2 linked regions of the Pelodiscus sinensis genome follow. The main gene of each other region encodes a partner of the protein of the gene in region 2 in a complex. Links are inferred from orthologs where the notes say so. Each region holds a gene or a part of one and is shown on either strand. Other genes may lie near its edges.

Region 1 (15,145 bases), on a different chromosome or scaffold from region 2:
CCGCTTTTGCGCAAGGAACGAGGAACGGCTCTTGTGCAAGAGAGGGTTTTTGCGCAAAAAGGAGCTGTCTACACAGCTCCTTTCTGTGAAAAAGCCTCTTGCACAAAAGCAGCTGCTAATTAATCATGCAAATGAAACACGGCGATATTCCACGCTGCGCTTCATTTGCATAAGCTTTTCTGGAAGAAGGCTACAGTGTAGCCGTAGCCTTTAGGTCAGCTTCGGGTTACAACCCAAAATCTGGACGCTTGAAACAGCTGGCAGGTGAACATCAGTGGAGAAGCTGCATCCACTTGGATCAAGATCGCCCATGTTTCAGCGCCACGCTCAAGAAATGAAGTTTAACTGGTTAAACCTTCACATCCCTAGTGCGTATGAGACACTCCTCAAAGAGGGTAAGGGAGGTGACATGGGCTGCACTGTATTCAATACACTGAAGAGACACAGCCCTACCTCTCTATCAGGTGTGACCAAGAGACAGCAGCTAAACACATTCTCTGTGCTTAGATGAACTTGGGACTGGAGTGAGTATTAGCTGGTGCAATCCAACCCAGACAAGACTGAGATAATGTTGGTGGGCTGCAGGAAGCAGCTGGGATTGTTTAGGGGTCTTATTTTAGCACCCAATATCCACAAAGTGCAAGACATGGGCTCCACTTGAGGCTGTTATATCCTGAGCTGCTCTGGACCACCCAAAGTAGCAGATGGGGCCAAGCGGGCACTACACCTGCAAGTCAGTGCGACATTTTCCCTGCGAATGGAGTCTGCTGCAATTTTCCATGCCACAAAGATAAGACTGCTGGAATGTGCTCTCTGTGGGGTTGCATGCTCAGACCATTCAGACACTGCAGCTCTGCAGAATCCTGCAGCCCACTGATTAAGCGGAGTTGCACAGTGGGAACACATTTAATCAGCACCCTATGATCAGAACTGACCTCCAATAAGCTTCCAGGTGGAATTCAAAGTGTTGGCTTTGCCTACAAAGCCCTGATTGGTTTGGGACCTGGTTACCTGAGAGATGCCTTGTTCTCCATGACAGAGTGTTGGAAGTGAGACCAACAAAGATGTTTTTTACCTGCTGTGCCTTTGACATAAAGAAAAGAAGCTGTTTCAGGGCATTCTCTGTGAAGGGGCCTCAGTTTTAGAATTCAGTCCCAACCTTGATCCACCAGAGCCCAGATCTGTTAACCTTCTGAGTACAATGAAAATCCCAACTTTTTCACTATTTCTAAAGCAGCTTAGAAAGACACAGACTGATGTAGTTATAAAACAAGTAGTCCTGTAGCACCTTAGGGTGTGTCTACACTGCATTCCTCTTTCGAGAGAGGAATGCAAATGCAGCCGAGCGAAATTGCAAATGAAGTACGGATTTTAATTTTCCATGCTTCATTTGCATAATGGCGTCTGGGCACTTTTCCAAAATGCCCTATTTCGAAAAAAAAAAACCTTCTTTCGAAATAACCCTTAAACCTCATTTTTTAAGGCGTAAGGGTTATTTCGAAAAAAGGGTGGTTTTTTTAAATAACCCCATCTACACAGAGGGTTTTTTTTTGAAATAGGGCATTTTGAAACAGCGCCCGGACGCCATTATACAAATGAAGCACAGGAAATTCAAATATGCTCTTCGTTTGCAATTTCACTTGGCTGCATTTGCATTCCTGTATCGAAAGAGGAATGCAATGTAGACCTTAGGCTACGTCTACACTGAAGGCTTCTTGCGCAAGAACTGGTTTGTACAAGAATTCTTGTGCAAAAAATCTTTCACAAGAGCGCGTCCACACTGCCATGTGCTTTTGCGCAAGAGCGTCCATGACAGTGTGGACACTCTCTTGCACAAGAAAGCTCTGATGGCCATTTTAGCCATAGGGGCTTCTTACGCAAGAAAATCATGTCGCCTTTCTACACTGCCCTCTTGTGGAAGAGCTCTTGCGCAAGAAGGCTTATTCCGTGTGGGGAAAGGAATAACTCTTCCGGAAGAAGCCCTGTTTTCCGATGCTTTACTGTAAATTTACTTGCACAAGAACGCACGTGCAGTGTAGACACCTGGCAAGTTTTCATGGGCAAAACCCACTTCCTCGAGATCTCAAGATCATCTCACCTGAAAAAGTGGGATTTGCGCATGAAAGCTCATGATACTATATATATATGTGCAGGACTTGACAAACGGCAGTGAAATCTGCTCCCAAGCCCCGCACTGCGTATGCGCAAGACCTGCATTGCACATATGCGCACCACCGGTGAACGGGGCGACCGGCTGATATCTACTCACCACAACACAGGCAAGTAGATTCAGTGATTTGTCGAGCCCTGTATATATGTTAGTCTCTAAGGCCATGTCTATACCATGCGGAAGATCAACGGTGGCAACGTCGATCTTCTGCGATCTTCTGAGGTTCGCATTAGCGGGTCTAGTGAAGACTAAGGATGTTAAGAAGCGGGTAACTGACTAATTGTGTACTTGATACTAAGCGAGTCCACGATTAGTCGATTAGCGGCTCTGCTGCGGCTCTGCAGTTTAAATGTAGTAGGAGCCAGGGGCACAGGTAGCCCAGCTCCTATTACATTTAAACTGCAGAACTGCAGCAGGGGTAGGTCTTAGATCCAGCGCGAGCCAAAGCTGCTGAGACCCAGACCTAACCTGCTGCGGCTCTGCCTTTTAAATGTAGTAAGAGCTGCCCAGAGGCGCAGCGAGGTAGGTCTGGGACCTGGCACAAGCTGGGACTCAGCAGCCCCGGCTCACGTCAGGTCCCTGACTGCTGCGCCTCTGCCTTCCCCATCCCTTCCGCACTGCAGAGAGGGTGCTGGGAGGAACTGGCTTTTAAGCCGGCTCCTCCCAGCACTAGCTCCTGCTTCCCCCCTTCTTGCTGCCTCTGCTATAAAGGCAGCCAGGGGGGGGGACACCAATAGTCAACTAATCAACAACTCTTTTACATCCCTACTGAAGACACGTTAATTCCAACTGAGAGGGTGCTCCTATCAACACCAGCAGTCCTGTTCCTATGAGGCATAAGGGAAGTCAACAGGAGCACTTGCTCCTGTCGACCTCCTGCTGTGTGGATGGCACCAAAAAGCGATTTAAGGTACTTTGATTCCAGCTAAGTAATTAACATAGCTGGAGTTTTGTATCTTAATTTGAACTGCTCTCCTAGTGTAGACCTGGCTTAAGGTGCCACAGGACTTTTAATTGTTTTTAATGTTACACACTACCCCTCTGATGTAGTTACAGTTATGGGAAGTGCCTTGTTTATGTTAGTCTATATTGTGGTTTTTAATTTTCCAGAGCACTCGATGGGCACCTATAAATAAATCAATAAATGCCACAAAGAAATAATCCTCAATGCCTTCAAGTCACGCTTCTGCGTCATCTTGTCACCATACAGCATTCTTTTCTCATGGCAACCAGACTTAACACCAGCCATGCCTGTCCACCTAATCACATGCCTTATACAGTGCCCACGAACGCACCTACCAGACGCATGTCAACCAAGTCCTACTCTTTACCAAGGACAAACACACACTGTATTTGCAGATGGCTTGGACTGAAGTAGACAAGGAACTGTGTCTAGGCTCAGCAGTACAGCTGCATGCCCTAGATCTGGTCAGAGCATGCAGTGAATTTTATCAAGTCTCATCAATTTTATCAAGTATCCACCATGCCAGTGATAATGCACGCAGAGAGTTAAGACAGGCCTCAGCATCAGATTCCTGTAAGCTGCATGGTTGAGCAGCTGTGCAGTTGCCTATTTAGCGCCATACAGGGGCTCAAGGAAGCCGAACAAGCAAGGGACCTGTAGTGCCCTCCAACCAACCAGGGCTGCTGGGCTCCAGCCTGGACCTGCCATAGGCAGTCCAGTTCCGACCTGGCTCCTGCTGCAGGATCCTGGTCCTGGTCCTGATCCTGCCACAAGAAGAAGTTGGGGCAGGGGACTCTGGCTCCCATCTGGCCATGATGGCCCATCTCCAGCCCTGATCCTGCCACAGACTGAAATCCCCATTCAGCCACGGCTGTGGTGCCCCAGCTCCATGTGGCCACGGTGGCCCAGCTGCAGTGCCCGAGCCCCCATATGGCCATGGCAGCCTGGCTCCAGCCCCTATCCAACCATGGCAGCCCCTGGCAGGGGGGGGGGTGCATGCAGTGAGCTGTGCCAGGTCTCAGCACCCCCCCTAGGCACAGGGGTCAGTTCCTGGCAGGGGGGCGGTGCATGCAGTGAGCTGTGCCAGGTCTCAGCACCCCCCCCCCCAGGCACAGGGGGTCAGTTCCTGGCAGGGGGGCGGTGCATGCAGTGAGCTGTGCCCGGTCTCAGCACCCCCCCCCCCCCCCAGGCACAGGGGGTCAGTTCCTGGCAGGGGGGCGGTGCATGCAGTGAGCTGTGCCAGGTCTCAGCACACCCCCCCCCCAGGCACAGGGGGTCAGCCCCTGGCAGGGCGGTGCATGCAGTGAGCTGTGCCCGGTCTCAGCACCCCCCCTAGGCACAGGGGGTCAGCCCCTGGCAGGGCGGTGCATGCAGTGAGCTGTGCCCGGTCTCAGCACCCCCCCCCTAGGCACAGGGGGTCAGTCCCTGGCAGGGCGGTGCATGCAGTGAGCTGTGCCCGGTCTCAGCACCCCCCCTAGGCACAGGGGGTCAGTCCCTGGCAGGGGGCGGTGCATGCAGTGAGCTGTGCCCGGTCTCAGCACCCCCACTAGGCACAGGGGGTCAGTCCCTGGCAGGGCGGTGCATGCAGTGAGCTGTGCCAGGTCTCAGCACCCCCCCCCCCTAGGCACAGGGGGTCAGTTCCTGGCAGGGCGGTACATGCAGTGAGCTGTGCCCGGTCTCAGCACACCCCCTAGGCACAGGGGGTCAGTCCCTGGCAGGGGGCGGTGCATGCAGTGAGCTGTGCCCGGTCTCAGCACCCCCCCTAGGCACAGGGGGTCAGTCCCTGGCAGGGGGCGGTGCATGCAGTGAGCTGTGCCCGGTCTCAGCACCCCCCCTAGGCACAGGGGGTCAGTCCCTGGCAGGGCGGTGCATGCAGTGAGCTGTGCCCGGTCTCAGCACCCCCCCTAGGCACAGGGGGTCAGTCCCTGGCAGGGGGCGGTGCATGCAGTGAGCTGTGCCCGGTCTCAGCACCCCCCCTAGGCACAGGGGGTCAGTCCCTGGCAGGGCGGTGCATGCAGTGAGCTGTGCCCGGTCTCAGCACCCCCCCTAGGCACAGGGGGTCAGTTCCTGGCAGGGCGGTACATGCAGTGAGCTGTGCCCGGTCTCAGCACCCCCCCTAGGCACAGGGGGTCAGTCCCTGGCAGGGCGGTGCATGCAGTGAGCTGTGCCCGGTCTCAGCACCCCCCCTAGGCACAGGGGGTCAGTCCCTGGCAGGGGGCGGTGCATGCAGTGAGCTGTGCCCGGTCTCAGCACCCCCCCTAGGCACAGGGGGTCAGTCCCTGGCAGGGCGGTGCATGCAGTGAGCTGTGCCCGGTCTCAGCACCCCCCCTAGGCACAGGGGGTCAGTCCCTGGCAGGGGGCGGTGCATGCAGTGAGCTGTGCCCGGTCTCAGCACCCCCCCTAGGCACAGGGGGTCAGTCCCTGGCAGGGCGGTGCATGCAGTGAGCTGTGCCCGGTCTCAGCACCCCCCCTAGGCACAGGGGGTCAGTTCCTGGCAGGGCGGTACATGCAGTGAGCTGTGCCCGGTCTCAGCACCCCCCCTAGGCACAGGGGGTCAGTCCCTGGCAGGGCGGTGCATGCAGTGAGCTGTGCCCGGTCTCAGCACCCCCCCTAGGCACAGGGGGTCAGTCCCTGGCAGGGGGCGGTGCATGCAGTGAGCTGTGCCCGGTCTCAGCACCCCCCCTAGGCACAGGGGGTCAGTCCCTGGCAGGGCGGTGCATGCAGTGAGCTGTGCCCGGTCTCAGCCCCCCCCCGGCAGGGCGGGGCTCAGGGCGCTGCGCCAGGCCCGCGGGCGCGCTGGCTTGTAGTTTTTCCAGCATTCCCGAGCCCTTGAGCGGGGAAAGCCCCTCCTCCCCTCACAATGGGAGCACGGGGAGCCGGATCTCCGCCGCCATTGGCGGCTGCCGCGTTCCATCCTCCCGCGGCGGCCAATGGGAGCGCGGCGCCTGTGTCAAGCACCGAGGGGCGGGCCCCGCTCCCGCCTCGACCAATGGCGTGGGAGAAGGTGGGCGGGGCCACCCCGTTCTGGGGGACAAGATGGCGGGGGGGTTGTTGCCCCAGCTCCCCCCCAGCCACCCCTCCCTCCTGCCGCCCCCGCCACAAGGCGCCGCGGAGGCGGCCGCACCCCCCCTCCACCCCCCTCCCTGCCCGCCCCCCGGGCCCCCGCCCCCCCCCGCGCCGGGCCCCGCGTTACCTGGCCGCGCCGCCGCCTGCTCCTCCCGCCTGGCCGAGGCGGCTCCGGCTCCCGCGGGGGGGGAGCTCGCAGCGCGGGGGGGGCAAGATGTCCGCTGGGTCGGGTCCGCTCCGCCGCTGCCGCCTCAGCGCCGCCCCCCGCCGCGGCGGCTCCGAGCCCGGCCCCGCTGCCGCGCCCGGGGGCCCCGCGCGCTCCGCCGCGGCTGCTGGTGCGGGGGGGGGGGGGGAAGCGGCGAGAGGCGGCGGCGGGGGGGGGGGGGGGACAAGATGGAGGCGGCAGCGCAGCCCGGCCGAGCGGAGAGGGAAGGAGGCAGCGAGCGAGCGCGGCGGGCGGGCGGGGGAGGGGGCTGCAGCAGCTTCGCTCCCCCCCACAGGCAGGGACCGCCCCCCCTCGCTCCCCCCTCCCCGGACACCACAGTGCGGGAGGCCCGGGGGCAGCGGCCTCTGGGGGGGGAGGGGAGCCGAGCGCAGACTGCCCGCCTCGAGCGCCCCCTCCCCCACGGGGGGGTGCCCTGCCGCTGAAGGGGGGCGGCCTGGGGGTGACCCCCCCCCCCACGGGGCTGATGTATTGAAAGGGGGCAGCCTAGAGTCACCCCCACTGGGCTGAATGGGGGGGGTTCCCCTCTGCCTGAAGTGTGCTCAAGGGGGCCCCCCATGGGGCTGACGTATTGAAAGGGGGCAGCCTAGGAGTCACCCCCACTGGGCTGAATTGGGGGGTTCCCCTCTGCCTGCAGTGTGCTGAAGGGGGGCAGCCTGGGGGTGACCCCCCCACTGGGCTGACGTATTGAAAGGGGGCAGCCTAGGAGTCACCCCCGCTGGGCTGAATTGGGGGGTTCCCCTCTGCCTGAAGTGTGCTCAAGGGGGCCCCCCCACGGGGCTGACGTATTGAAAGGGGGCAGCCTAGGAGTCCCCTCCACGGGGCTGAATTGGGGGGTTCCCCTCTGCCTGCAGTGTGCTGAAGGGGGGGCAGCCCAGACATTACCTCTACTGGGCAACCCTTAGGGGTTCCCCTGCCTCATGTGCTGAAGGGGGGGGGCAGCCTGCGAGAGACCCCTACCCCTTATATTGAGCTGGAGGGTTACACTGCTGAAAGGGGCAGACTAGGGTGTGACCTGCCTGCAGTGTGTTGAAGTGTGTGTGGGGGGGGGGGGGGAGAGAATGACCACCTCATATCCCACTGGAGGTGGGTGTGCTGAAGGAGTACAGCCTGGGGTGTGTGGTCCCCCCCACCCCAGTGTGAAAAAGTGAAGGGCAACGACTCCTAACCTCATATCTTGAGAGGGGTTGGGGTATCCCTTCTCCAGCTTTCTGAAGCTGGGGAGCAGCCTTGTAGGTGAACCCCATTCTCATCTACTGACAGGAAGTATCCTCACACCCTCACAGCTGAAGGGGGGTGTTCCAGCCTGGAGATGTCACTACAATCCCCATATACTGATTGACAGCCTTAGGGTGTGACAAGTTATCTTCCCACATGGCTACCCAACAACCTGGGGTTGTGTCTCTTCCCACTCCTCTCAAAATATGCTGTCGGGTCAAGCCTGATTTTTGTGCTCTGTGTGCTGACTGCTCAGCTTCCCACGTGCACCTGTTCCCAACCTTTCTGTTTCTTAAGGTTACCTAGATTAAACAAATGGTCCGAACAGTACAATCCACATCTATTTTGTAGCGCAATGTTTATACATTCACCTAAAGTATTGGGGAGTTAACACCAGAACATCACTGAGAGTAAGAGTAATTAAGGCTTGGGCAAAGGAGAAAATAGGTATTGAGCTGGAAAGTTGGAGAGGTAGACCAAACATTTCTAATATATGGTACGCCCTATAAAAAGTATCCCATGGACATCCTATCACCCAGTAATGATTGTGCGTATATTCCATACAGGGATACTAGTTTATAAAATTAACTGCAAAATAGATTGCATTTCAATAAAATAGAAATGAAAATTTTCATGATTCCCCCCCCCTCCATTTTCTGACCAATTCTGAGTTTTAGCTTTTATTGTGAATTAGCAGTGGAATATGAGTAGCAGCATCTGACATTTAACTTTGCAATGCACTCATGATCCAAGGACCCCAATTTAAGGAAACTGTTTAATGTTATAGAAAAGGATATCCATGATTTAGCGTATCAACTGCAAAATTTAAGCCAACTTTCTTTTCCAAGCCCTGGGTCAATGCATTCTTAAAAAAAAACCCCAGCAACATGCTGGAACTCACAATTCTTCGGTAAAAAGCTGGGTTATAAGCTACACTTGGATCAGTGCATCAATGGGAGCTGTGGAAATAAAGGTTACAAAACTATCAATTTTAGTGGAATGACAATGAGCCCAAAATTAACATTTAATGGCCTAATCTTAATAACAAAGCATAGTAGTCTTCACAAAACAAATGTTTAAAATATTGGAAGCAGGGGTGCAGGGTAGAAAAGACTCTTTTATTTACTAGTAAAAAATAAAATCAACTCATTTCCCTTTTTTTAAGTTAGAACTTCATTTTCATTCCAGACAAAGGTTTTGGTGTGTGTTTGCATAAGTTTAGCATATACAGTGGTGAAACTTGCACTAACCATTTTACTATAGTTTCACTTCTGAGTGTTTAGAGCAGTGGTGGGCAATCTGTGGCCCATTGGGGTTCTGTGTGTGACTCACAAGACATTTTGTTTACCATTGCCCGTTCTCAAATTCTTCTGGTTCCATGTAGGTTTTTTCCTAACGATATTACTCAAGTGACATGCAAGTGCACATGAAGTGAAGTGTGTAATGACTGCACACAACATTGACGGTAAGAGCCATGTGCTCCCTCTGCATCCAATCAAAGCGCTGCTACGGTTCAATCAGCACACCCAGAAAAGCTAGGTACACATGAACAATTAGCAAAACTACACTATTCTACTAGCACAGGAGACCATCTTGGTTACAAATATTTTGCAGCCCACCGAGATGGAGGGTCACTTATGTCCCACTCACTAGCCTAGGTTGTCCATCACTGGTTTAGAGTCAGACGCTTAGGCTACTTCTACATCATGTACTGGGGGTGTGAGCCCCAGTTTTCATAACATGCTTTTTCTAGCTGTCTTGTGAGTTAGCACACTAAAAAATAGTAATGGAGCCATGGTAGTATGGACTAGCTTCTCCAAGAGGGGTTCAGGCAAGTTTGTATACAGGGTATCAAGTATTGCTGTTCGCTAGTGCCTATGCTATCACAGCTACACTATTTTAGTGTGCTCAGAGGAGAGTGTGTATGAGTGTGTATTGGAGATGGGACTCACACCCTAGCTCATAGCGTAGATTTAGTGATAGAAATGTAGCCGTGTTAGTCTGGGGTAGCTGAAGCAAAATGCAGGACAATGTAGCACTTTAAAGACTAACAAGATGGTTTATTAGATGATGAGCTTTCGTGGGCCAGACCCACTTCCTCAGATCAAATAGTGGAAGAAAGTAGTCACAACCATATATACCAAAGGATACAATTAAAAAAATGAACACCTATGAAAAGGACAAATCACATTGTGTAGATTTAGTCTGACTTGCACTGAGATTGGTATCTTTACAAGGTTAGGCCCCAATCTTGCACAGATTTACACATCTAATATCAAATTTGTAAATAATCCCATGGAGTGCAGTAAAACTACTCATATGCATAAAGTTAAGCATATCCATAAACTGTTGCAAGATGAGGCCTTGCATTAGCAGGTTCTCCATCATTTAATTTTACAGTGTATATGTGGAACTAATGTGTTATTTTTAAAAACATTCAGACTTATCTCAATGTCCCAGAGGAACACTTTAATTCAATTTAGTCTCTCTATCTGTTTTTGAAGGGTGCAAGTTCAAAACTAATGCTGCTTCTTCAAAGGAAAACGACAGGCAGTGAAGATCAAGCAGAACTGTGCGCCTTCAGTTCCAAATCATAAATTTCTTCAGCTTCATTCTAGCACATTTGTATTCAAACACGAGGAGAGTTACAATTTGGAGTTGAAACTGTGCAGTTACATTGGTAAATAAAAAAACTGAAAATGAATATAAGTAGCAACTACTCAACTAAAATGTGCCATTTTTAAAATGTTCTTAAAACTGCCATTGCTAAAAGCTACCAGCACACATTAATGCTTGATATACAGAGTTGATTAATATACACAGCTCACATTTATGTCCAGCTGAAGATGTGAATGCTCAGTTAAGTTACACTTTTAAAATGACATTCTAAAGGCTTGCATGTGCTATCTGAGAACCCACACCCAACAGGGCTTTGCTTATGCATGGAGATCCACCTGCACAGAGCAGTTTACAGGATCAGGGCCTAATTAATTAATGTATATGCCTGTAGACATCTTTTTGACATTAATATGTACATTTTTATTTTAAACCAAACCTGTTTGTTCTGAGCTTGAATTTGTCTGCAAAAAAAGTCTGAATTTTGTGACTTCCATTTCTAAAATTCTGTAAAAAGGAGTTTGAAGGATTTAGGTCACTTTCATGAAATCAAAAATAGAATAGGGCTAAATACAAGTATGCTAAACTTGCAATAGGATTTAAAGCAGCAGAAATATGACCTTTCAAAATAAAGCAGTCATCAATCAACAGAAATGTTGATGGAATTGAATGTGAAACAGCACTGGCTATGCCATATTAGAAATGCGCAAACTTGACATGCTCAGAAAACGGCCCTTTGAACAAGTATTCTGTTAAAATATTACATCCATGTGTTCATCTGTATATACTGAAACTCTTATCCTGAAATCATGCTGACAGACAATCCTTCTAAATAAAGTGTGCTTAAACCTGTTGTGCAGACATAACCTCAAGTAATTTTCCCCCTTCGTTTGTCTGATTATACCAGTGAACAGATTCTTAACTGTGGACTGCCTCTTAACAGAGGGGTCTCAAAGACACCAGTGATGTGCCATTTATTGTAGCACGACATCCCAGTGGAAAGTATTATTGCATGGAAAATATTAGAGAAGTGTATTTTTAGTTGTCATTAATGCAATAAATATTTCTTTCGGGGGTGGAACGCTCACTGTTTTCCTTTTTTTCTATCCTCCTCTTCCACTTGTTTTGTTCCTTTGAGGTAGAAACAAGCAGAGTCAGTCCCAGTGACTAGCTGAACCAGCACAGGCTATTAAGAATATACGAACATCCTTAGAATGTTTAAAGTTTAAATGTGAAAAAAAGATTAATCCTATGGGACAAAATAAAACCCATTTTCCAGGCAACTATATGTTTTTTTTCCAAAGATCCACATGAAAAGGAAATTAAATGACTTTTAGGTGGTCTCCAAGACAGAGGGAGTTCTGTCTCCCTTCATCCCAATAATGCAGCAGGTCCTTTTGAAGAAAAAATTACCCTACACCCTCTTCTTTTCCCACTGATTTTTCTAACAGAATAACAAAGTAACTATTCACAGATCAATTTAGAACAAAGAGTCAGACCAGAGGGCCATCTAGCCTAGTGGTGGGGAACCTTTTTTGGGTTTGGGGCCACTGGCCCATAGAAAAATCAGTTGGGGGCCCACACAAGTGAGAAGGAAAAAAGCCACACTTTCTCTGAATGATAGAGCTGGAAGTGACCTCAGGAGGTCATCAAGTCCAGCCCCCTGCCCAAGGCAGGACCAATCCCAATTAAATCAACCCAGACAGGGATTTGTCAAGCCGAGACTTAAACACCTCTAGGGATGGAGATTCCACCCCCTCCCTAGGGAACCCATCCCAGTGCTTCCCCACCCTCCTAGTGAAATAGTTTTCCCTAATATCCAACCTAGACCTCCCTCACTGCAACTTGAGACCATTGCTCCTTGTTCTACCATCCATCACTACTGTGAACAGCCTCTCTCCATCCTCTTTGGAACCTCCCTTCAGGAAGTGGAAGGCTGCTCTCAAATCCCCCCTCATTCTTCTCTTCTGCAGACTAAACAAACCCAAATCCCTCAACCTCTCCTCATAGGTCATGTGCTCCAGCCCCCTAATCATTTTGGTTGCCCTCTGCTGGACCCTCTCCAATGCATCCACATCTTTTCTGTAGTGGGGGGCCCGGAACTGGACACAGTACTCCAGATGTGGCCTCACCAGAGCCGAATAAAGGGGAATACAGCCACTCTCCGAGTTATGAACAAGTTACGGACCAACACTTGGTCCATAACTCGAAGTGTTTGTAACTCAGATCCCATAGAGTTACATGGCGATCGCACTGTTCGTAAGCGCGGATCGCCGTTTGTAACTTGGATCCACATTTATGACCGCTTTGGTTGTAAGTGCGGATGGTCATAAGTGGAGGTGGTCGTAACTTGGGGAGCGGCTGTAATCACTTCCCTAGATCTGCTGGCAATGCTCCTCCTAATGCACCCCAATATGCCATCAGCCTTCTTGGCTACAAGGGCGCACTGTTGACTCATATCCAGCTTCTCATCCACTGTAACCCCCAGGTCCTTTCCTGCAGAACAGCTTCTTAGCCAGTCATTCCCCAGCCCGTAACAATGCTTGGGATTCTTCCGTCCCAAGTGCAGGACTCTACACTTGTCCTTGTGGAACCTCATCAGATTTCTTTTGGCCCAATCCTCCAATCTGTCTAGGTCACTCTGGACCCGATCTCTGCCCTCCAGCGTATCTACCTCTCCCCCTAGCTTTGTGTCATCTGCAAACTTGCTGAGGGTGCAATCCATCCCCTCATCCAGGTCATTAATAAAGATGTTGAACAAAATCGGTCCTAGAACCGATCCTTGGGGAACTCTGCTAAAAACTGACCGCCATCCTGACATCGAGCCATTGATCAGTATCTGCTGGGCCCGACATTGTAACCTGCTTTGACATGGCCCCTGACTGAGAAGGAGAAAGTGTTGGTCCGTAACTTGTTCATAACTCGGGGAGTGGCTGTATTCCCCTTTATTCGGCTCTGGTGAGGCCACATCTGGAGTACTGTGTCCAGTTCCGGGCCCCCCACTACAGAAAAGATGTGGACGCATTGGAGAGGGTCCAGCAGAGGGCAACCAAAATGATTAGGGGGCTGGAGCACATGACCTATGAGGAGAGGTTGAGGGATTTGGGTTTGTTTAGTCTGCAGAAGAGAAGAATGAGGGGGGATTTGACAGCAACCTTCCACTTCCCATATTCCCTTGCATGCCAGAGCCTAGGGGGGCCCATCTTAGTAGATTTTGGGTGCTCCAGCCCTGTAGTGAGGCAGCAGAAGGCTGGTGGACCATGAACTCGGTGGTTCCCCATCCCTGATACAGCTCAATATTCTGTCTTCTCACAGTGACAGATGCTTCAGACAGAATGAACAGAACAGAGCAATTCATCCTCTGGTTTCCACTTCCCGTTTCTGGCAAGTTGGAAGTTTAGGATTATCAGGAGCCTGGGGTCATGTCCCTGATTTTCAGTAAGGAAAGTATCCGCAGAAAGATCACTTAACATAAAGGCTTCTTTTTTCAAACTAAAAAAAAAGTGCTTTCTACTAGACATAAAAATATATGGAGTAGCAACAACCCAATAGGTCCAAACTCAGTATCTCATTATTTCAAGAGTGATGTACTGGGTGAGGGGTCTCTGTGAGAATCTGTACAGCTTTTGCGAACAGGGTTGTAATTTAATCTAAACATATTATTCACTGTTAAACTAGGCTAATAACAAAACATATTAAGGAATTACAAACATCCAGTTTTGCATTTAGCAGTATGTACACCACATCACTGCTGAGAGAGAAAACTAAAAAAACAAATGATATAACACGTAGCTTAAATTGCAACTGTGAAATGTCTAGGAAATCCAATAATACCATATCCAATTCACAATAACAAGTTATTTGTTATTGAAAATGGCACTCAGTAGCCACAGCTCGGAGTTTTCTGTGTGCATTACACAGGTTTCTTTATTTGCGACTGCACAGAAGAATCATAAAGCATCTGCAAGGAGTGAAGAAAGTTTTGAGGAAAGAGTGCTGACTACAAACAGTTGCATGTGACTTCTGAGATCCAGAGAGGCCTTTGAAGTTGGTGAAAGCAAAACTAGCTTTGTGAACAGAAGAGTAAGAAGTAGAACAATACTAAAGTAAGAGTTCTGAAATAGCTACATAAATAGTGTGGCAACAGTTAAGCAAAACAAGGAGAATAAGACTGAGCAGAGGCATGGACTTAAAAAATGAGATACTGTTGCATCAAAATTATTCCTCTCCTTTCTGGATAAAACTTTCAGAAGCCTTGAATATGTAGAAGACCAAAATTGTGTTTCATATACTCAAGAGGAAATCACAATGAACGTAAAAGAATTTTAAATTATTAAAGAGTGTGTTATCCTAATCCAACTGATATCCGATAATTTTATACTAGGAAGATAAAGTAAATAGAGGATTTAGACTAAGGTTTTGAAGATTCAACAGGATAAGAAAGCAGTTTTTTCGCATCTTTAAAAATGAAGGTTGCCTGTGTCTGTCTTTTGATGGATGCGACATGGAACAAATCAAATGTTCCACAAGTACAAAGATGCCTCAATTGACTGGGAAGAAGAATTGACTATATTTTGTGACTATCTGGTATTTGTTGTGGTTATTTACCTTCAAGATACACTGAAAGCAAGATTGGCTTAGCCTTAGTGAAAATTATTTGGCCAACAGCAATCCCCTGCAGGCCAACCTAAAGCAGTCCTAGAAAACATACATACATACATAAATGTTTAGAAAAAAGATAAACCAAAGGACTTGGATGAAAAGTGTGTACAGAAGTCTGAGATATGCAAATTATCAGGTGGCAGAAGAAAGCAGATGAACAAAAGACTCAGTGTTTAGAAAAGTCTTTGGTCCACCAAGGTGGATAAACTTTGCTCATGACAGGTGA
Region 2 (15,145 bases):
CAAAGTCACCCCAACCTCCCCCACTCCTGTCCCGAGACCCCCCAAAGTCACCCCAACCTCCCCCACTCCTGTCCCGAGACCCCCCAAAGTCACCCCAACCTCACCAACTTCCCCCCACTCCTGTCCCGAGACCCCCCAAAGTCACCCCACCCTCCCCCACTCCTGTCCCCAGACCCCCCAAAGTCACCCCAACCTCCCCCCACTCCTGTCCCGAGACCCCCGTCACCCCAACCTCCCCCACTCCTGTCCCGAGACCCCCCAAAGTCACCCCAACCTCCCCCACTCCTGTCCCAAGACCCCCCAAAGTCACCCCAACCTCCCCCACTCCTGTCCCCAGACCCCCCAAAGTCACCCCAACCTCACCAACTTCCCCCCCACTCCTGTCCCGAGACCCCCCAAAGTCACCCCAACCTCACCAACCTCCCCCCACTCCTGTCCCCAGACCCCCCAAAGTCACCCCAACCTCCTCCACTCCTGTCCCGAGACCCCCCCAAAGTCACCCCAACCTCACCAACTTCCCCCCACTCCTGTCCCGAGACCCCCCAAAGTCACCCCAACCTCACCAACCTCCCCCACTCCTGTCCCGAGACCCCCCCAAAGTCACCCCAACCTCCCCCACTCCTGTCCCCAGATCCCCCAAAGTCACCCCAACCTCCCCCCACTCCTGTCCCGAGACCCCCTAAAGTCACCCCAACCTCCCCCCACTCCTGTCCCGAGACCCCCCAGTCACCCCAACCTCCCCCACTCCTGTCCCCAGACCCCCCCAAAGTCACCCCAACCTCCCCCACTCCTGTCCCCAGACCCCCCCAAAGTCACCCCAACCTCCCCCCACTCCTGTCCCGAGACCCCCCAAAGTCACCCCAACCTCCCCCACTCCTGTCCCCAGACCCCCCAACCTCCCCCCACTCCTGTCCCCAGACCCCCCCCAATCACCCCAACCTCCCCCCACTCCTGTCCCCAGACCCCCCCAAAGTCACCCCAACCTCCCCCCACTCCTGTCCCCAGACCCCCCCAGTCACCCCAACCTCCCCCCACTCCTGTCCCGAGACCCCCCCAAAGTCACCCCAACCTCCCCCACTCCTGTCCCCAGACCCCCCAAAGTCACCCCAACCTCCCCCACTCCTGTCCCGAGACCCCCCCAAAGTCACCCCAACCTCCCCCACTCCTGTCCCCAGACCCCCCCAAAGTCACCCCAACCTCCCCCACTCCTGTCCCCAGACCCCCCCAAAGTCACCCCAACCTCCCCCACTCCTGTCCCGAGACCCCCCCAGTCACCCCAACCTCCCCCCACTCCTGTCCCGAGACCCCCCCAGTCACCCCAACCTCCCCCACTCCTGTCCCGAGACCCCCCAAAGTCACCCCAACCTCCCCCACTCCTGTCCCGAGACCCCCCAAAGTCACCCCAACCTCCCCCCACTCCTGTCCCGAGACCCCCCCAGTCACCCCAACCTCCCCCACTCCTGTCCCCAGACCCCCCAACCTCCCCCACTCCTGTCCCCAGACCCCCCCAAAGTCACCCCAACCTCCCCCCACTCCTGTCCCGAGACCCCCCAAAGTCACCCCAACCTCCCCCACTCCTGTCCCGAGACCCCCCAAAGTCACCCCAACCTCCCCCACTCCTGTCCCCAGACCCCCCCAGTCACCCCAACCTCCCCCACTCCTGTCCCGAGACCCCCCCAAAGTCACCCCAACCTCCCCCACTCCTGTCCCGAGACCCCCCCAAAGTCACCCCAACCTCCCCCCACTCCTGTCCCCAGACCCCCCAAAGTCACCCCAACCTCCCCCACTCCTGTCCCGAGACCCCCCAAAGTCACCCCAACCTCCCCCACTCCTGTCCCCAGACCCCCCCAAAGTCACCCCAACCTCCCCCACTCCTGTCCCCAGACCCCCCCAAAGTCACCCCAACCTCCCCCACTCCTGTCCCCAGACCCCCCAAAGTCACCCCAACCTCCCCCACTCCTGTCCCCAGACCCCCCCAAAGTCACCCCAACCTCCCCCCACTCCTGTCCCGAGACCCCCCAAAGTCATCCCAACCTCCCCCACTCCTGTCCCGAGACCCCCCCAAAGTCACCCCAACCTCCCCCACTCCTGTCCCGAGACCCCCCCAAAGTCACCCCAACCTCCCCCACTCCTGTCCCCAGACCCCCCAAAGTCACCCCAACCTCCCCCACTCCTGTCCCCAGACCCCTCAAAGTCACCCCAACCTCCCCCACTCCTGTCCCGAGACCCCCCCAAAGTCACCCCAACCTCCCCCACTCCTGTCCCGAGACCCCCCCAAAGTCACCCCAACCTCCCCCACTCCTGTCCCGAGACCCCCCCAAAGTCACCCCAACCTCCCCCACTCCTGTCCCCAGACCCCCCAAAGTCACCCCAACCTCCCCCACTCCTGTCCCCAGACCCCCCAAAGTCACCCCAACCTCCCCCACTCCTGTCCCCAGACCCCCCAAAGTCACCCCAACCTCCCCCACTCCTGTCCCCAGACCCCCCAAAGTCACCCCAACCTCCCCCACTCCTGTCCCGAGACCCCCCCAAAGTCACCCCAACCTCCCCCCACTCCTGTCCCGAGACCCCCCCAAAGTCACCCCAACCTCCCCCACTCCTGTCCCCAGACCCCCCCAAAGTCACCCCAACCTCCCCCACTCCTGTCCCGAGACCCCCCCAAAGTCACCCCAACCTCCCCCACTCCTGTCCACAGACCCCCCCAAAGTCACCCCAACCTCCCCCACTCCTGTCCCCAGACCCCCCCAAAGTCACCCCAACCTCCCCCACTCCTGTCCCCAGACCCCCCCAAAGTCACCCCAACCTCCCCCCACTCCTGTCCCGAGACCCCCCAAAGTCACCCCAACCTCCCCCACTCCTGTCCCGAGACCCCCCCAAAGTCACCCCAACCTCCCCCACTCCTGTCCCGAGACCCCCCCAAAGTCATCCCAACCTCCCCCACTCCTGTCCCGAGACCCCCCAAAGTCACCCCAACCTCCCCCACTCCTGTCCCCAGACCCCCCAAAGTCACCCCAACCTCCCCCACTCCTGTCCCCAGACCCCCCAAAGTCACCCCAACCTCCCCCACTCCTGTCCCGAGACCCCCCCAAAGTCACCCCAACCTCCCCCACTCCTGTCCCGAGACCCCCCCAAAGTCACCCCAACCTCCCCCACTCCTGTCCCGAGACCCCCCAAAGTCACCCCAACCTCCCCCACTCCTGTCCCCAGACCCCTCAAAGTCATCCCAACCTCCCCCACTCCTGTCCCGAGACCCCCCAAAGTCACCCCAACCTCCCCCACTCCTGTCCCCAGACCCCCCAAAGTCACCCCAACCTCCCCCACTCCTGTCCCCAGACCCCTCAAAGTCACCCCAACCTCCCCCACTCCTGTCCCGAGACCCCCCAAAGTCACCCCAACCTCCCCCACTCCTGTCCCGAGACCCCCCCAAAGTCACCCCAACCTCCCCCACTCCTGTCCCCAGACCCCCCAAAGTCACCCCAACCTCCCCCACTCCTGTCCCCAGACCCCTCAAAGTCACCCCAACCTCCCCCACTCCTGTCCCGAGACCCCCCCAAAGTCACCCCAACCTCCCCCACTCCTGTCCCGAGACCCCCCCAAAGTCACCCCAACCTCCCCCACTCCTGTCCCGAGACCCCCCCAAAGTCACCCCAACCTCCCCCACTCCTGTCCCCAGACCCCCCAAAGTCACCCCAACCTCCCCCACTCCTGTCCCCAGACCCCCCAAAGTCACCCCAACCTCCCCCACTCCTGTCCCCAGACCCCTCAAAGTCATCCCAACCTCCCCCACTCCTGTCCCGAGACCCCCCAAAGTCACCCCAACCTCCCCCACTCCTGTCCCCAGACCCCCCAAAGTCACCCCAACCTCCCCCACTCCTGTCCCGAGACCCCCCCAAAGTCACCCCAACCTCCCCCACTCCTGTCCCGAGACCCCCCCAAAGTCACCCCAACCTCCCCCCACTCCTGTCCCGAGACCCCCCCAAAGTCACCCCAACCTCCCCCACTCCTGTCCCCAGACCCCCCCAAAGTCACCCCAACCTCCCCCACTCCTGTCCCGAGACCCCCCCAAAGTCACCCCAACCTCCCCCACTCCTGTCCACAGACCCCCCCAAAGTCACCCCAACCTCCCCCACTCCTGTCCCCAGACCCCCCCAAAGTCACCCCAACCTCCCCCACTCCTGTCCCCAGACCCCCCCAAAGTCACCCCAACCTCCCCCCACTCCTGTCCCGAGACCCCCCAAAGTCACCCCAACCTCCCCCACTCCTGTCCCGAGACCCCCCCAAAGTCACCCCAACCTCCCCCACTCCTGTCCCGAGACCCCCCCAAAGTCATCCCAACCTCCCCCACTCCTGTCCCGAGACCCCCCAAAGTCACCCCAACCTCCCCCACTCCTGTCCCCAGACCCCCCAAAGTCACCCCAACCTCCCCCACTCCTGTCCCCAGACCCCCCAAAGTCACCCCAACCTCCCCCACTCCTGTCCCGAGACCCCCCCAAAGTCACCCCAACCTCCCCCACTCCTGTCCCGAGACCCCCCCAAAGTCACCCCAACCTCCCCCACTCCTGTCCCGAGACCCCCCAAAGTCACCCCAACCTCCCCCACTCCTGTCCCCAGACCCCTCAAAGTCATCCCAACCTCCCCCACTCCTGTCCCGAGACCCCCCAAAGTCACCCCAACCTCCCCCACTCCTGTCCCCAGACCCCCCAAAGTCACCCCAACCTCCCCCACTCCTGTCCCCAGACCCCTCAAAGTCATCCCAACCTCCCCCACTCCTGTCCCGAGACCCCCCAAAGTCACCCCAACCTCCCCCACTCCTGTCCCCAGACCCCCCAAAGTCACCCCAACCTCCCCCACTCCTGTCCCGAGACCCCCCCAAAGTCACCCCAACCTCCCCCACTCCTGTCCCGAGACCCCCCCAAAGTCACCCCAACCTCCCCCCACTCCTGTCCCGAGACCCCCCCCAAAGTCACCCCAACGTCCCCCACTCCTGTCCCCAGACCCCCCCAAAGTCACCCCAACCTCCCCCACTCCTGTCCCGAGACCCCCCCAGTCACCCCAACCTCCCCCACTCCTGTCCCCAGACCCCCGTCACCCCAACCTCCCCCACTCCTGTCCCCAGACCCCCCCAAAGTCATCCCAACCTCCCCCACTCCTGTCCCGAGACCCCCCCAGTCACCCCAACCTCCCCCACTCCTGTCCCCAGACCCCCCCAAAGTCACCCCAACCTCCCCCACTCCTGTCCCGAGACCCCCCCAGTCACCCCAACCTCCCCCACTCCTGTCCCCAGACCCCCCAAAGTCACCCCAACCTCCCCCCACTCCTGTCCACAGACCCCCCCAAAGTCACCCCAACCTCCCCCACTCCTGTCCCCAGACCCCCCAAAGTCACCCCAACCTCCCCCCACTCCTGTCCCCAGACCCCCCCAAAGTCACCCCAACCTCCCCCACTCCTGTCCCCAGACCCCCCAAAGTCACCCCAACCTCCCCCACTCCTGTCCCCAGACCCCCGTCACCCCACCCTCCCCCACTCCTGTCCCCAGACCCCCCCAAAGTCACCCCAACCTCCCCCACTCCTGTCCCCAGACCCCCCCAGTCACCCCAACCTCCCCCACTCCTGTCCCCAGACCCCCGTCACCCCACCCTCCCCCACCCCTCTGCCCCAGAGCCCACCCACGTCCCCCCAACCCTCCTCACACCCTTCTGCCCCCAGAGACCCCTCCCCCCGACCCCTCACGCGCGCGGCGCTGCGCTCGGTGCGTCTCCCTGGCCCCGCGCAGCCCGGCTGTTCTCTCGGCGGGTCCCCCTCCCGCCGCAGGCTATTCCCCTCCGCCGCCCCCTCCCCCCGCCGCCGAGCGCCGGACCCAAGATGGCCGCCGTGTCAGTTTGGGGCTTCGCCGCCGTCCGGCCTCCGGCTCGCGCTTCGCGGCTCGCGCAGGCCCCGGTGAGTGGCGCGGCGCAGGCCGCTCGCGGCTGGGGGCCCGGCGGCGCGGGGGCCGCGGGCAGGCGGCAGGTCGGGCCCTGCCGCCCCGGGACGGGGAGGCCCGGCGGGTTCGCCAGGCCCCGCGGCCTGTTCCGGCCCCGCCGCCGCCGCTCTGCGCCAAGCCCGGCCTCGGCCCCGCCGCCCCGCCGCCGCGCCCACGGCAGGCCGCGGATGAGGCCGGTGGCGCGGGCCGCGGCGCTGGGCTGCGGCGGCTCGTGGCGCGGCTCCAGGGGGGCGGCGGCGCCGCGGGAAGCCGGGCCGGGCTGCTCGGTGCCCGGGAGCAGGGTCAGGCGCCCGGCGGGCGGGCGGGCGGGGCGGGAGCGGCTTGACAGGTGCAGGGGCGCTGCAGCGTGAGCCGGTGTCCCGGGGCCGCCCCCCGCCTGTCACAGCGGCCTGCCCTGCGGGGGGCGGCAGGGTCCCTGCCCGGGCCCAGGGATGGGGACTCGGAGGCATCGCAGCTGTCTGTGGTCCGCATCTCCCCTTGCATCTGCAGCAGCGAGTACAGCTCCTGTGTCAGGAACTCGCCTTCCCTGCAGATTTTGTGTTGAGCAGGGGTTCTAAACTTCTGCCTCAGTGTTAAGCGTATCCCGTCTGAGGGGGCTCCAGGGTCTGATTTGGGTGTTTTCAAATCCTTTGTTGCGTGCAAGTTCTCCCACACTTCCTAGAAAGCAGGGGATGAGAAGGAAGAGCTAGAGGTAATACGCTGACTAACTTCAAACTTCCTGGTATAAACTCTCTCCTATAAAAATGGTGGTTTGCAATAAACTGTTCACAACTCCTTGAATGTCAGTGTAAGAGGCAAAATGTACCTGGTGCCTGTGAGAGTCCTGTAGTTACTTTGTATTGAGAACTCAGGCTGATGTTTTCACTACAAAATTAAATGTGTTTGTTACATCAAGATAGCTATCATGATGTAAAATTCTATTGAAAATCAGGCACCAGATAGTTTTGTTTAAGTGAAGACATAGCCTAAGTATTATTTAAGCTTTGTTACAAAATGTGCTCTGAAACTTCAATGATGGATTAGAAGAATTTACTGTATTCTTGTATGTTTGTGAATATACAATCTAGATTGGAACACTTGTGACTGTCTTTGTGTGTGTGTGTGACTATTTTCTCATTTTCTTTCAGATTTAATGTTCCAATTTTTCTGATGTGAGATTGGAAATCCAAAATTGAGGTGACATGTGCTGAGTTCTGTGCAACTTTGTGAAAACCTTGCTCAAGAGCTGTTGGATTTATTGAGAGCATGAAGAAATTCCTAACAGACTATGTAATTTTTCTACTTTCAGTTGAAAAATATTAATGTTGGAAAAAGAGTTAATTCAGATTCAGAAATGTGTATGCTATGGTTAACTGGTTCCCATCCTCCAAAAATCTGTTTTCCCATGGTGTAAAGCTTATTCAGCATCGGGATAAAGGATAACGACTCTATGGATATACAGAATTCTTCACCATGGTAAAACTCGCTAACCCGCTGTATACGGAGTGGATTTTGGAGGCAATCAAAAAAGTGAAGAAGCAAAAACAGCGCCCTTCAGAGGAGCGGATATGCAATGCAGTATCTTCATCCCATGGTTTGGACCGAAAAACTGTCCTGGAACAACTAGAATTGAGTGTTAAAGATGGAACTATATTAAAAGTCTCCAACAAAGGTCTCAATTCCTACAAGGATCCTGATAATCCTGGGAGAATAGCACTTCCTAAACCTCGAAACCATGGAAAGTTGGATGGTAAACCAAACGTGGACTGGAATAAACTAATCAAACGAGCAATTGAGGGCTTGGCAGAGTCCAGTGGTTCATCCTTGAAGAATATTGAACGCTTTTTGAAAGGTCAGAAGGATGTGTCCACATTGTTTGGAGGTAGTGGTACCTCCATCTTTCACCAGCAATTGCGACTAGCTGTCAAGCGTGCTGTTGGCCATGGCAGACTCCTTAAAGATGGACCTTTGTACCAACTCAACACTAAAGCAGCCATCAATGCTGAGGGGAAAGAGAGCTGTGAGTCTCTTTCCTGTCTGCCTCCAGTGTCACTCCTTCCCCATGAAAAGGATAAGGTAAGAGCCAAGAATACACCAACATTTCCTTGGAACTGATGAAAAATGGTGATACAGGCTCAAAATTTGAGGTCACTCTCTTTAATATGTAACTGGTAAGTTGAAAATGGGCAAGAGACTTTAAGAACTGTGCGGCAAGTGAATGGTTCTGTTTTCTTCCAGTTTCTGAGCATGAACGCAGTTGGTATTTTGTGCCTGCCACTTGGACAGGTCAAATGGCAAACTAGGTAGTTCCCTTCCCAATATTCAGGGTGTGAAATTAAAGGGTTGGTCAGAGACTTCCTAACAACACAACTTTGAGTATGTATCATATTTTTAACTCCACTTATCAGTAGGAAAAGCAGGATAGAATCCTCTCACATTTTTAAATCAGATGGATTATAAAAAAGGACATAAGAACGGCCAAACTAGGTCAGACCAATGGTTCATCCAGCAGAAGCAGCCACTCTAGCTTGCCTGGAGGACTTCTCCTTTGCTGTTTTTCCAGGGTCAGCATGGGGCTTCGGGCCTAGTGCATCCCATCACATGTAGACATAAGGATGACCATACGGGGTCAGCCCAACAGTCCATCTAGCCCAGTATCCTGTCTGCCGACAGTAGCCAATACCTAATGCCCCAGGGGAAGGGAATACAACAGGAATTCCTCACGTGATCCCTCCCCTGTCACCCACCTCCGGAGAAACAGGCTAGGGACACCATTCCTACCCATCCTGGCTAATAGCCATTGATGGACCTAATCTCCATGAATCTATCTAGCTCTTTTTTGAGCCCTGTTAAAAGTTCTAGCCTTCACCTCATCCTCTGGCAAGGAGTTCCACAGGTTGACTTTGCATAGAGTGAAGAAAAACTTCCTTCTGTTTGTTTTAAACCTGCTGTTTATTAATTTCATTTGGTGACCCCTAGTTCTTATATTGTGGGAATAGTAAATAACTTTTCCTTATTAACTTTTTCCATACCAGTCATGATTTTATAGACCTGTATCATATCCCCTCCTTAGACTCCTCTTTTCTGAGATGAAAAGTCCCAGTCTTTTTAATCTCTCTTCATGAGACCCCTTCCAACTCCCTAATAATTTTTGTTGCCCTTTTTATGAACCTTTTCCAATGCCAAGATAACTTTTTTGGAGATGAGGCGACCACATATCATATTGTATGTGTAGTAGGGATTATATTTTCAAATGTGCATTACTTCACATTTATCAGCATTAAATTTAATTTGCCACTTTGTTGCCCACTCACTTAGTTTTGTGAGATCTGTTTGAAGCTCTTCGCAGTCTGCTTTGGTCTTAACTATCAAGAAAAATCAAGGTTTTTTTGTTTTGTTTGTTTGTTTCATTTGGCTACCAGCCCAATTCACTATGTTGGACGCAATTAATTATTTATTAATTATTTGTTTTGTGATAGCTGATTAGGACTTGTAGATGCTATCTGAGCCTTATTGTGCTAAGTGATTTCAACCCACATAATGAATGATAGTTCTTGTCTCAACAAATTTAGTTTTAGTTAATGAAAAGTCAGCAAGTCAATAGAACAAATGGGGGACAGGATGGAAGAAAAGGTAATAGAATGAACACTTTTTAAATGTATGTTACAGTACAAAATAATGTGGTTCCATTAGCATAAAGAAACGTGTATAGATTCATTTTAAAATGAAACACCTTTCTTCTGTATTATAATGTCTCCTCTTCTGTGCATATTTTTGGCATGTTTCTTTATATTCCTCTCCTTCTATAAGATTTTGGACCTCTCCAACTTCAAGATCAAGTTAGCAGAGTGAAATTGACACTGGTAGTTTCACTCTTGCCACTGTTTTACCACTGGGGAAGTTATGTCAACAAGTTTATTTTCAAGTAAAGGCAAGAGTTGCCAAGATAGGGGTCCCTTTGTACTGCAAGTCTCTGAAGCCTTCTGCAACAGTGTTGAAAGTAACTTTCTCTCATCCACACTACTGGCTAAATTATTTTCAACTCTGAGAGTAGAAGGTCTTGTTGCTGACATACTTTTGTTACTGATGAGATCTCAGTGCCCATCTAATTAGTTTCATGCTCCAGACAGGGTTCTTCCCCATTCTAACAAGCTTTGAGGCCTTGATGACATGAAGTTTCCTTTCTATAATTTCTCACTACGCAGCAAAGATCCAACAATGACTGTACAGGGGAGAGCACTATTGTAAACAGAACACTGTTACTTTCATCACTGTTGGACATAGACCTGCACTGAGTAGGATTAGAGGATTGCTTACTAGACCAGCATAGTTACAGCATTATGGTCATTGTATACACAAGCAGTAAAACCAATAGCAGCTGAACCGATGATAGTAACAGTGGGAAACCGTAGTATGCCTTAGGGTCTGCTCTCTGAGAGAACATCTATGCTCTGGAGGTGGTTGCATTTTAATACTGTGGCACTCATATGATCATTCACTGGGATTATTTCATGGCGGTGTCTTAAAATGAGGTTGTGTAAATGCAGTGAAGGAAAATATGGAATGCCACAAAACTTGTATCTTATTTCTTTGTCCACCACTATGTCCCTTAGATAAACCATGAACATTTCAATCAAGATTTTAAACAATTCCCAGGTCCCTTTGGAATTACATTCACTTCTTGTAACTGTTCAGATCTAGGATTTCTCCTGTAGCCTTTGCAGCCATGACAGAAAGTTCACATGGCCATGTACTGAAGAAAACGACAATGACCAATCCTGCTGACTTTTGCCATATTCCTTCTTGAACTCCACTCTGAATGTTTCTCTTCAAATACTCTTGACATATACTGCGTGATTCATGCTAAGTTTCTAGCTAGCTTCACAGATGTCATTGCTGCCTGTCAGGGTATGTTGTCTTGTTAGCACATCTTCAGAGTTCTTGCAGTTTTAATTGGTCTGCGGATCATGATATAGTTAAAGCCAGGAGGCATTTGCATGACTGGGACAGGCATCTAACTTTTTGCCTCCAATAGTAACAGATACAATAGATGCCAGCATGACAATCCTTTATTTGAATGTTGATGGTTGAGAGGGACATTTTTTGTTTGTTGCCCTTTTTTGTTTCGGTGAATTTGCTTTTTATTGTCAGCATTGGAGACTTGAATTCAGGGTTCTCACAGTCAGTTTACCTTAGGGCCAGTGTCAGTCCTAAAATTCTCCTGTTGGGCCTGTGGGTTCCCTTTCTGGCAGGGTTTGGGAGGGTTTCCGTGCATCTCTCCCCTCCTCACCCATGCACTTCCCAGCTCCGATGCCCCCGGGTGATTTAACCTCACCCCCGGGTGCTCCCAGCGTTACTACCAGCAGCGCAGTAGGTGCAGAGTGGCCTCCATCTGCTAACACTGTGCCACTGCTGCCACATTCCTGTGGCCCAAGGGAGGTGTGTGTAGAGTAAGTTCAGTGCAGCCACCCCAGGCTCTGTGTTTTGGGGGTCTCTGCGGCAGCTGCCTCAAGCATCCTGTGGACTGGAGGGCCCCCTGTATTCAGATTGGCCCACAGGGTCCTGGGCAGGCTGTTCCACAGGGACTTGCATGTGCACAACCATGTGTGGGCTGGATTGTGGAACTGCTCAGGCTGTAGATGACCTGCGGGCTGTGAGTTTGAGACCCCTGCTTTAGTTCCTTTATCCACAGAACAGGTGCAGTATGAATAATGGTAGTGCAGGGTTCCCCTTGTAATCTTTGAAAGAGACATAACGAGACCACCTCTGAAACTGAGTAGAGAGCTCAGTTGCCTTACCCAATTCAGGCCATAGATTTGATATAAAGAAATTCTCTTATCAGTTATAGGCAATTGGTTCTTGATTTTCATTTGCACTATTCAAGCTGAAAGAAATGCACACAGTAAATTGAATAAGATGTAAACTAGAAGACTTGAGGGACCTGAAGACCATAACTCAGACTATGTTGATACTGCAGATAAATACCCAGAGTTGACTGGTGCCAGCTGACTTGGGCTCTGGGGTCATTTATTTGTGTGTAGCTGTTCAGGCACAGCTGTGGGTATTTAACTGCAGTGTACAGCAAACTTCAAATAATCCGGCACCTTTAGGACCCAGGGGGTGCCGGATTATCAGATATGATGGACTATCAGAAGGGGGGGCTATGAGGGGTCTGGGGTGGGGTGGGGGGATGCTATCCCAGACCCCCTCATAGCCCCCCCTTCTGATAGTCCAGCTCTGCCCCAGGAGTCCCTGATTCAGCCGCTGCTGGTCAGTTTCAGCAGCGGCTGAATCGGGGGCACCTGCATCAGAACAGCTGGGGTGCTGCTGGGTTGGTCCGGTAGCGCCGACCCCTGGCGCAGCAAGACCAACCCGTCAGCACCCCAGCTGCTCTTGGGGACGCCTGGGGCAGAGCAGCTGGGGTACTTCTGGGTTGGTCCCGCAGCTCTGCTCCTTGGCGCTACTGGACCAACCCAGTAGCACCCGAGCTGCTCTGCCCCAGGTGTCCCCAAGTCAGCTGCTGCTGATACTGATCAGCGGCTGACTTCAGAAAGCCAGAGGCAGAGCTGCTCTGCCCCGGGCTTTCTGGAGTCAGCCACTGATCAGTATCAGCAGCGGCTGGATCAGGACACCTGGGGCAGAGCAGCTGGTAGGCTGCTGGGTTGGTCCCACAGCACCGAGGAGCGGCGCTACTGGACCAAACCAGCAGCACCCCAGCTGCTCTGCCCCAGGTGTCCCCAAGTCAGCTGCTGCTGAAACTTATCAGCGGCTGACTCCAGAAAGCCAGAGGCAGAGCTGCTCTGCCCCGGGCTTCCTGGAGTCAGCCCTGGTCAGTTTCAGCAGCGGCTGACTCGGACGCCTGGGACAGAGCAGCTGGGGCGCTGCTGGGTTGGTCTGGTAGCACCAAACCTTGGCGCTGCGGGGACCAACCCAGCAGCACCCCAGCTGCTCTGTTCCAGGTGTACCCAAGTCAGCTGCTGCTGAAACTGACCAGCCGCTGATTCTAGGAAGCTGGGGCAGAGCAGCTCTGTCTCCGGCTTCCTGGAGTCAGCCGCTGGTCAATTTCAGCAGCGGCTGAATCCGGGACAGCTGGGGTGCTGCTGGGTTGGTCCCGCAGCCCCGAGGGGCAGCGCTACTGGACCTACCCGGCAGCACTCCAGCTGTTCTGCCCCCTGCTTCCCGGATTCAGCGCTGGTCAGTTTTAGCAGCGGCTGAATCGGGGAAGCTGGGGGCAGAGCAGCTCCAATGGTCCGGCTGCCTGGAGCACTTCCGGGTTCCTGATGGTGCCGGACCATCAGGAGTGCTGGACCGTCAGATGCCGGACCATCGGAGTTTTACTGTATTACTCTTTGAATTTGAGGGCATGCTTAGTAGGAGTTGGCCTGAGATGCTATTTATTTCCATTATGAACCATGTGTGGTAACTTTCACCCACTGCTATTCTGGGCTGGATTTAAACTGGCAATCCAGATGTGACAGGCACAGTGTACTGTAATCAATCCTCTGAATCCCATCTAGGATTTTAGAAGTTTGTTCATTTATAAATCTAACATTTATTTGCAACAGTCAATCTAAAACCTATTTTCATAGTTTTTCTCAATGGAAACTTTCTCTCAATCTTTTATTATATTGAAATAAATGTTCAAAGTATCATACAGTCCAAGTTTTACTGTATTTAAATAAATGATCAAAATATCATATGGTTCAAGTTTAGCATCCTAAAGCAATATTTAGTTATCTGAGTAATGCTGGTCTGACTTTTGGGGATGCTGAGCAATAAGAGATGCTTCTGAAGTCAGTAAATGCTGCAGGCATTCAGTTTCTTTGATGAATGTACTATACTTATTAAGGTGCTTAAATGTGGATTTAGGAACCAAGTGTGGGTACTTGATTTAGAAAATGTTACATGGGGAATTTTTAAATGCACTTCCTTAATAATATTATAATATATGGAGATATACCATCTCATAGAGCTGGAAGGGACCTTGAGCGGTCAGTGAGTCCAGTCCCCTGCCCTTGCAGCAGGACTAACTACCATCCCTGACAGATTTGCCCCAGATCCCCAAATAGTCCCCACCTCAAGGATTGAACTCATAACTCTGGGTTTAGCAGGCCAGTGCTCAAACCTCTGAGCAATCCTGACCCCCCTTTCTTTTCAGTGCTATGGATAATGCTTTAAGTTAAAAACAGGAGACTTGACAAATCTAACACATTTTATGCAATTTATGCTGTTCATTTCTTTCAGATTGAACAGTGCAACTAAAAACCAAGAATCAATTGTCTATAACTGGTTTCTAGTAAATTTCACTTTCAGGTTCTGATGTTAAGTGTAGTTATATTGAGTTACAGATACTCCAGAGAAACACTTGTTTAAAAATGTTTCTAGTGACAGGTAAAGAGAACTTCTGAAAACTTGACATCAGTTTAGTAAAAGTTTTTCTTTGTGCAAAGTCTAATTTTTATGCCAAATTTTAATGAAGTATCTTTTTAATTCCACATTATACCATTCAAGGTAAGGAAAGATCCAAAACATAAACTTTGCCTTTAGAAATTAATGTAGTAGAAATATGCTCCCAACGGCAAAGTCTGAAGTCTTTCAGAAACATTATTTAGATTTTGAAACAGATTTTTGGGGCAGAATTCTTCATTGAGGTTTTGATCTCTCTGTATGATGATAGTTAATGATAGATAGCTTTAAGTTCTAAAGTGCTGTGGTTGCCCTCGTTGCTGTTCTCTGATAGTTAGACTGTATTTGTTGTTTATTTCTCTCTGCTTTAATCTATAGCTTCTGTGGTCCCTATTTTTTCTCTTTGGGGTAGATTTGTCCAGTAAGATGCAAGGAAAGGAATTTGGAGAGCAACAGGCTAAAATGTTCTGGGATAAATGGGGCTTGGTTGACCTGGCTGTTTTAAAGTTGTTTGAGTTATGACCTTATGGGTTTGTCCTACCTGTTTGCTGCTTTTTTTTTTTTAAACCTTCTATATCTGTGCAGTAATACTTTTATTTCTTTGTTTAACTTCAGGTGCAAAAGTTTCCAATTTTCTAGAAACAGGTTAATTTATCTTAAGGTCACGTGTTTGAGCTCTATGGTTAATTTATCTGAATTGTGAAACATAAACAGTAATTCATATCTAAGTAAGTTTGTATATATGAAGTATGTCTTGTGCACCATATTTAATGCTGGGAT

Evidence for each region.
Region 1: KAT6A (region 2) and BRPF3 share a complex: the UniProt entries of both Homo sapiens proteins name them as parts of the MOZ/MORF complex. The link is inferred for Pelodiscus sinensis from reciprocal best matches to the Homo sapiens genes KAT6A and BRPF3.

What each region holds. Positions count from the first base shown.
Region 1 is NC_134737.1:12,987,031-13,002,175, reverse strand, and holds the start of BRPF3 (bromodomain and PHD finger-containing protein 3), read right to left. Parts: upstream 6,468-15,145; 5' UTR 6,328-6,467; intron 1-6,327. UniProt on the Homo sapiens protein: Scaffold subunit of various histone acetyltransferase (HAT) complexes, such as the MOZ/MORF and HBO1 complexes, which have a histone H3 acetyltransferase activity.
Region 2 is NW_027465860.1:507,443-522,587, forward strand, and holds the start of KAT6A (histone acetyltransferase KAT6A), read left to right. Parts: upstream 1-5,790; 5' UTR 5,791-5,937; intron 5,938-7,107; 5' UTR 7,108-7,432; coding exon 7,433-8,035; exon of another isoform or gene 8,036-8,130; intron 8,131-15,145. UniProt on the Homo sapiens protein: Histone acetyltransferase that acetylates lysine residues in histone H3 and histone H4 (in vitro). Component of the MOZ/MORF complex which has a histone H3 acetyltransferase activity. May act as a transcriptional coactivator for RUNX1 and RUNX2.